Cricetulus griseus: one gene and its partner. The protein of the gene in region 2 binds, or shares a complex with, the protein of the main gene of each other region. Links are inferred from orthologs where the notes say so. Each region holds a gene or a part of one and is shown on either strand. Other genes may lie near its edges.

What was found. The genes of interacting proteins can lie anywhere in the genome.
Region 1: the proteins of Scn7a (region 2) and Scn3b are in contact, whole or in part, in a cryo-EM structure (PDB 7TJ9), measured with the Homo sapiens proteins. The link is inferred for Cricetulus griseus from reciprocal best matches to the Homo sapiens genes SCN7A and SCN3B. Residues at the interface, in NP_002967.2 of Homo sapiens: Arg269, Glu293, Tyr296, Leu298, Glu299, Leu305, Gln315, Cys316, Pro317, Glu318, Gly319, Tyr320, Asn922, Ile923, Thr926, Cys927, Lys929, Ile930, Phe939, Ile956, Tyr957, Asp959, Gln960, Ile966, Tyr970, Met973, Ile974, Tyr977, Ile978, Leu981; in NP_001035241.1 of Homo sapiens: Val25, Cys26, Val27, Glu28, Val29, Arg44, Ile46, Lys50, Arg51, Glu52, Glu53, Val54, Asn95, Gly96, Ser97, Asp99, Gln101, Asp102, Phe126, Phe128, Ala130, His131, Pro133, Val135, Thr154, Ser155, Ser158, Glu159, Met162, Leu165.

The regions. Positions count from the first base shown.
Region 1 is NC_048597.1:151,887,428-151,891,177, forward strand, and holds the start of Scn3b (sodium channel subunit beta-3), read left to right. Parts: upstream 1-1,507; coding exon 1,508-1,562; intron 1,563-3,750. UniProt on the Homo sapiens protein: Regulatory subunit of multiple voltage-gated sodium (Nav) channels directly mediating the depolarization of excitable membranes.
Region 2 is NC_048599.1:108,334,207-108,337,895, forward strand, and holds the start of Scn7a (sodium channel protein type 7 subunit alpha), read left to right. Parts: upstream 1-830; 5' UTR 831-1,081; intron 1,082-3,689. UniProt on the Homo sapiens protein: Sodium leak channel functioning as an osmosensor regulating sodium ion levels in various tissues and organs. While most sodium channels are voltage-gated, SCN7A is not and lets sodium flow through membrane along its concentration gradient.

The sequences.
Region 1 (3,750 bases), on a different chromosome or scaffold from region 2:
ATAGGGCGGGGGATGCTCAGCAGCTGCTAGGACTAGGGAGTGGCTGAGAGTTGGAAAACGTCTCAACACCATCTACCGGCCTTTTACAATTGGTTACCGGGGCGGGGGGGGGGCTGAAAAAAAAAAGACACAAACTAGGGAAGCGAAAAATCGGCCCTTATCCTCACCCCAAAGCTTCCCTCAAGCCGTCATTTGCTTCCAGGCTGAGCGATGAGGTGAGAACAGGTGTGCCACACCCTACTCCACTTGCCATAAGCAGAAATTGTCTTGCTGTGCCGCTTGGGTTGGGAAACCATTAGTCAAGGCAAGACAAAGGCTAGGCAGACAGGACTGGGTGGGAGATGGGGTGGAGGGCGAAGAGAAGCCTGCCAGGAGCCACCGTAGCACAGTGAACATTATAGATGACATCATTGCTTCAAAGAGATGTGTTCCTCCCTTTCCCAGAGCTGTAGGCAAGCGTATTTGGGAGGCCGCAGCAGTAGGGTTGCCCGGAAAGGGTGAATTGGTGGGTAACTGTGTGTCCATAACCCAGAAAGAAGCCCAGACAGTAGGAGACCGGCTGACACCCAGTTAGCCAGACAAGAAGCCACCTCCGCGGGAGGTGTTTGCGCTGAGCCGGGCTCCGCCCCCTCGTCTCAGCGCCAGCCCTGGGAGGGGCACGCCGGTTTAGGGGAGGGAAATGTGTGTTCAAGGGGGAGGGTCCGTAGCGACCGTGGCGGTGGAGAGCCGCTTGCGCATGTCAAGGCTAGCAACACATTCGGCAAAGGGGCGACTCTGAAGAGGGGCGGCTCGATCACCCAATCACCCAGCGTCAGGGCTCCACAGGATCCAGGGGCGCGCTCCACGGAAGGGGTTCCTTCCCTCTACCACCCTCCACCTCTGAGATCACCAACCCTACGGGAGCTCTCGCTTCTTTTCCAGCCCCTCGAGGACCTCCCGGGAATCCGGGCCCCTGTGTACAAGACTGAGGTGAAACAAATTTTGTAGCCCAGACGACGGCTGGAGTCGGGACACACCCAGCCGGAGAAGCCTGCCGGAGCTCCTGAGTCTCGGAGGATCTAAGTCGGAGTGTCGCTGTCCCTAGGGGAGGCGAGAGGTGAATCAACATGACTCCTTCGACAGTCCAGCATCCCCGCGCCGGCTGCGCGCTTCCCTTCTCAGGCTACTTTGCTTTGGTTGCAAAAGCTAGACGCAGGGGAGAGATTGGAATTCCAAGATCGGGGTGGGCGGGGAGGCTACTGTCCGTGGTGCTGAGCCAAGCCTGGGGACTCGCTCCAGCGAGACATCACGAGGTGGCCTGAGCTGACACCCAACCTCGGCTCCAGATCCCGCAGACCCCCACCCCCACCCCCAGGCAGGGCCTATGACCTTTTCTTCCTCCTCCCACTCAGAAGGTCTCTCCCTTAGGGGTAGTTGATCCCTAAGGGTTTCCTCGAAAGAATCAGAGGGCGAAGTCCTTGACAGAGATTCTCTCTGTTTAGCTTCAGAAACCACTCACGGAAAAAAGATGCCTGCCTTCAACAGATTGCTTCCCCTAGCTTCTCTCATGCTCATCTGCTGGGGTAAGTACAGCACCCTGCCCTGCAATATGCAGATAACAGGCATCATGGTGACAATAATAACACTTATTTATGTCGCTGGTGGCAAAAGGAGCTCTCTTGGCTTCCTTCCGTGCATGTCTGCCAGACATGGGTGTCCACATGTGCTTTGGAGATTGCAAAGGCACCTCCTCCAATGACCTGTAGTTTGATTTTTCCCCCTAACCTTCTTTGGTGCTTCTCCCAGCCTCCTTCCTTTCCTAATTATTCCCATTTCTCCCCCGGCTTTCCCCTTTGCTCAAAAGGAATGTATCACATCCATTAATTTAAAATTCTTGCTTGCATTTACATTGTATCACTCAGTGAAGAGTCAGTTCTGAACATCTCAGTGGGTTGGGGGAGGGCTCATTTCTCTCTACTTAAAAAAAAGCATAAAAACTGGATGCATAAATCTTAAGAGAGAAAATACTGTAGTTCATCCATCTGTTAAATTTTAACAAGGAATGGATGAGATAGTGGCTTTAGCCATTTGCTGGTGTGAATTGGTAGATGGGAAGTGCATTTAGTTTGCAAGAACATTTAGAGCTGAAGTGCTTTGGTGTTTGGTGAGCTGGGTTGCTTTGTTTGTTTGCTGGAGTTTTGTTGTTGTTTTTACTCTTGGTTGTCACCTGTGACAGACTAAGTGGCATTGCCACTCCAGACAAGGGACTTGTGACAATAACATTGGGCTAAACAGCTTAATGTGTGGCTTACAACAAGGTACCTGAATGAGTGCTAAGGGAATTGGGCATCTAGATGCTAATAAAATACTGAAATACACACAGTATTTTACTGTATGTAAATGTATGTATGCACTAGCATGTATCTGAGCATATTAGTATGATTATCTAAATAGACTAGTGAGACTCAGCAGCATGTGTGTGTGCACGTGAGTGTGTGTGTGTGTTCCTGACATTTTTGCTTTCATGTCTCTGACCCAGCCCTCAGATCAAGTATAGGTGCTCTTTGTTTCATAAATCAGTTTATGTTGGTTTAGCTACCTTCCTCCAGACTCAAATACAAAAAAAAATAAAATAAAATAAAATAAAATAAGGGATTGTGTCCACCTCCCTTACAGAAAGTAGGCTTGTGAGATTATGTTCCTGTACTGGGCTTGGTTCCCATTCTGCCTGGGCGGGCAGTGGCAGGCATGCCTTTTTGCCTTAGTATCACTTTGTCAAGCCTTGGATAGGAACTGTAGCTGCATGTATTATTTGGATTTTGCATGTGACCAGAGGAAAAGCCCAGTTTCCTGTTGAGCAAAATGCCTAATGAAACAAGAATGGGAAGGAAAAAGAAGAAAATAATGCCAACCCCAAGGGTGGACTCACCACAACCCATTCCCTGAAGACTACAGCATACTCGGAGGTGATGCTGACATAATGCGCTCAGTGAGCTCACCTGTCTTGAAGATCAAGGCTGCTATTTGCTCCAGAGAAATGTTCGGGCTGTGAGGCTTAGAAGAGGTTAGTCTGGCAGGATAAGAGAAGGCGTGGGTGAGGCTCAAATTGTAGAGAAGTGCTGAAAGAGAGCTGTAGAAATTTTTTTCCAAAATTTAAATTCTTAAGGTTCCTTCCTGAATTTCTGGGGCAAGGGGGGCATGCTGCAGTCTCAGCAGTTTTTGATTAAGACACACAAAGCTCTGGTTTGCATCTTGCCTCTATCAGTTCTACTACTTCGTTTTTATTAGGTAGCATCCTCAGAATGCCTGATAAAGGTGAAGTTTGGAAATTGTCACAGATTATATATAATACCCCTCTCAGCTCACAACTCAACCAGAAGGGAATACTTACAAAATATTGCTAGAATTTGCAGTGGATCCATTATCTCTTCTCCCTCCAAAATCTTCAGAACAATTAACAGCATAGGTCACATCTATCCTTGCTCATTGCAGGATTGTGTAATCCAAACATTAGTTCCACAAAAGGGTTTAAGAATGCTTGGTGGTTTGTGTAGGGGGAAGAGCCTCACTCACAAGTGCAGTTTTACTTTATTTGCATATAATTCTTATATCCTTTAGGTCTTTTGGCCAGCACATCACAGAGGGATGACATGAGAGTTATTTCCACTTTAGGTATGAGAATATGAGTTCATAAAGGGCTGAGGGCTTGCTAGAGAGCTGCTGTCTTCCTGAGCTAGAGAGCTCCATCTTTCAGCATCTCTTGTAGACACA
Region 2 (3,689 bases):
AACTTACTTTTATTATCCGGTATGACAATGGTCCTGGGTTAAATTATTTAAAATGGTTTTATTCATAAAGGTATGTTGATGAAGTTTTGAATAAAATGCTCTGATAAATCTGGACAAAAGAGGGTTAAACAATGAATGGCCTATGTTGGTTATGTCAAAATCTTCCCATCTCCATCTTGGTTAAAATGTATAGTACATCTTCCCTACAGCCCTCAAACCAAGATGTAGGGCATGCCAGTTTTTAAAAACACAGACAAAAGTTCCCACTGGACCTCAAACTCCACTCGCCAGGGTGGGACACAAACCCACAATGCATTTACAGTCTTCTAGTCAAGTCTTTCTTAAGCAGCCGCACACCTGCCCAGAACTGTGGCCACAGCAATGCTGGGGGCTGCCAGTGTGCCATAGGCTGACATTTACCCCATATATTCTATTAGGCAATCAGAGCAGGGTAGGGAAATCTTCCTGAAAATCAGGACCCTGAGTTTGCTGTCCCCATCCTCTCTTACTCTCCTCTCCTTTTCCACACACTCCAGTGGCACACAAACACAAGTCAGCCACACACTGCTTTTGCTTTTCTCCCAGCTGTGGACTCTTCACTCCTTCCCAGCTTCTTTTCTATTTCTTTCTCTTTATTAAATCCCAGTCCCACTTGTCTGACTGGCTCGTTCCCAGGCAGCAGGAGGATGAAAAACCACTGCTGAAGCTGTTATTGCCTCTGCAGCTGGGTGTCTGTCAATATCACCCGCCCACGCTTATCTGGCTTCAGGAGTCACAGGCTAGCCTGGAGATGAGAGTGGGGGAGTGGCCACGAGAAGGGAGGGAGGAAGGCAAAGGAAACAAAAACAGCTACCAGGCTTGCTGGGCATCTGTCTGTAGGTGGTCTCTGGGTCTGTGACTGTGGAACCTCCCAGGTGGCTGAGTGTCTAGCTGGCAGCAGCTGGGAACAGCAAGCACAGCAAGCAACCTCCTGAGAAGAGAGCTGAGAAGAGAGATAAGCCCAGGAGAGCAAAGGGCTCCTAGAAGCCTTGCTTCTGGGGCTCTTGGTGGGGTTTCAGTGAAGAATATCATTTGGCAGCAAGTAAGTGCATATTTTTCCTTGTAGTGACAATCCCATGATGGGGATAGCTCATGGCTGTGCCCAGCGTTTGCTTCCCACTCCACCTGCCCCACCCTCTGATCAATCTTTGGGAAATGTTTGAGAACCAGAAAGAACATTAAGATCTAGACCTGAACTAATGGCTGCAAGGTGGATGTTTGCTCCGCATGTGTGGTTAGTTATCTTACCCAACCAGGTAAGGAGAAGCCAAGAGATGCTATGTTCTGTAAAATTTCTAGAACCCCCTAAATGCTGATGGTTATAATGGATGGAGCAGGAGGTTGTGTGAGTTGGACTATACTGTTAAGGAATTCAGTCTCTGATTTTGTCTAATTTTATACACTCAAGAGTAGAACTTTTGATATGACAACATCAGTATTAAAGCAGCAGAAGAATGGTATTGGAAATGATGTCTTTATTTTGAACAGCTTGGAGTTTGGCAGCATTTGGTCCAACATATTTTATTTTTGTTTGTTGTATTGTTTAGTCTCCCAAACATATTCTTTCTAGTGTCTGTTTTACTTTTAAAATTGATGATGCTATTCTGGTCCTGTTACCTCTGAGACTTAGGGCATTGTCAGACAGGAACTGACACTGAATCCATGGAGAATACTCAGTTTATGGACCCTGTCGATGTGTCATGTAGATATTGGCTGAAAAAATCTGAAATAGAAGTGTGGCAGTATTTTGGTGGGCATTTGGGGAGAACTTAGAGCACAGTAGAAGGGACCTGCTGTGGCATGATGCGAGTCCTGGCTCCTTGCCTGTCATGGCTAGCCCTAAGGAGCTATAATCAGCTGTTACTTTTGCAACTAACACACCCAAGGCCCAGGAGGAGTACTTACTGGTCCTCTTCCTTTTCCTTCGGCTTCTTCCACTCACTTTATGGTTGACATCTTACTTTCATAGTACAAATAATAATTACCTGAGTTATTGGGCCACCACATAATTGAGCTAAGATCACAATAATAAAAATGGGGATTTAGAATTATAAAACTTTATTTTCATTTTGCATAACAAAATGGATTATTAATATTTAGTCTGATTGCAATTTGTTCTCCTGATTTGTAAATGATACAAATTCCTGCTAAGGACTAAAAAGACAATATGGATTCTTTTAGGAAAGGAGTTGTTTGTGAAACTGTTGATTACAAAAGGAATTTATCTGTGTTTTTCTCTACTTCCCCAGGGTGGTTCTCATTTGAAGTTTAGTACTATGGGCAAAAGGAGTCTTTAGACTGACCTTTCTAGAATGATGAGAGTGAGTGAAAGTCAAATATGTTTCTCATCAAGGGTACACTTGAAGGTGCATTATAACCAGTGTGAGTCGAACCTTTTATAAAATGTGTGCCATTAATAATGTAACACCCTTGAAAATTCTGTAAATATGTCCTACACTTTTTATTTCTTTAGTTTAAAACTTTGTTTTGCTGTGTAGCTTTGCTTTCTGAGTTAAAACCATCAAGAAAAGCACATAGATGGTTGGAAATTTATTTGCTGTAGTTATTAACACTGGTATAATCAAGTTTAGGAACAAAAACCCTCAGCTACAGAAATCCATTAAGTCTTGCTGAACACCAAGGAATACCATGAGCCTTCCTATGGATGTGTTCAAAATAATAGAATTAACTGAAATTGGTCATATGGCTCTGTAAAAGAGGCTAGCTATCTTTGGATAGCATGGTAAGGACCTGTCCATTATTGCCACTTACCAGTCTCTCCTGGAGAACTGGAATAAGAAACACTTGACAACCAGATACTATCTCTCCTGATTCTCATGTGATAAAGATATGGGCAAGATAATAGATATATGTTGTGACTGAATTTGCCAAAATGAGGCCAAGTCCTGTGTCATCAGACTACAAATGTAGTCAGTGCTTTGCTCAACCTTTCCTTGGATAAGAATAATGCTGATGTTCCCAAGTCTATACCTCGATGGAATAAGCTCTGCATGGCAGAGCAGTACTCAGCTCAGACATTCACCCACAAGACTCTGGCCACTATTTAAAATTCTGTCCTCAAAGTCTATGGTAGAAACATTAATCCAAAAGAGACTTTCTTTTAAAAAACATGTTTTAATTTTTGAAATTATAATACAATTACATCATTTTACCCTTTTTCTTACCCCAGTTTTCACAGAATAACCTTTCCCCAACCACCACTCTGTTGCTCTCTCACAAATTCACAGGTTCTATTTCTTTAATTATTGTTATATATCTGGGAGTCTGACCCTTTATTTCCACGAGCCAATATCAACTCTGATCAATTTGAGACTATCTACAGCCCCTACCCACCTCCACTGGCTTCCACAAAAATGCCATCTTTACTCACATGAGATATCATTACCTTATTCTCTCCCGTATATCCTCAGTGATACCATTTCAGCTAAGAAGAGTCTAACCTCCCAAGCACTGAAAGATGGAGACTTTGGCTTTGAAGAGAATGTTTTCATATGAGGGTTGATGTCGATATTTCTCAGTTTTGCTATATCTCTTGAGCCCATTAAAATTCTGATCTCTATATTTATGTGGTCATTGCTTCCTTCCTTATTAACGAGGATACACTTTATGGTACTCTACCCCTCTATGTC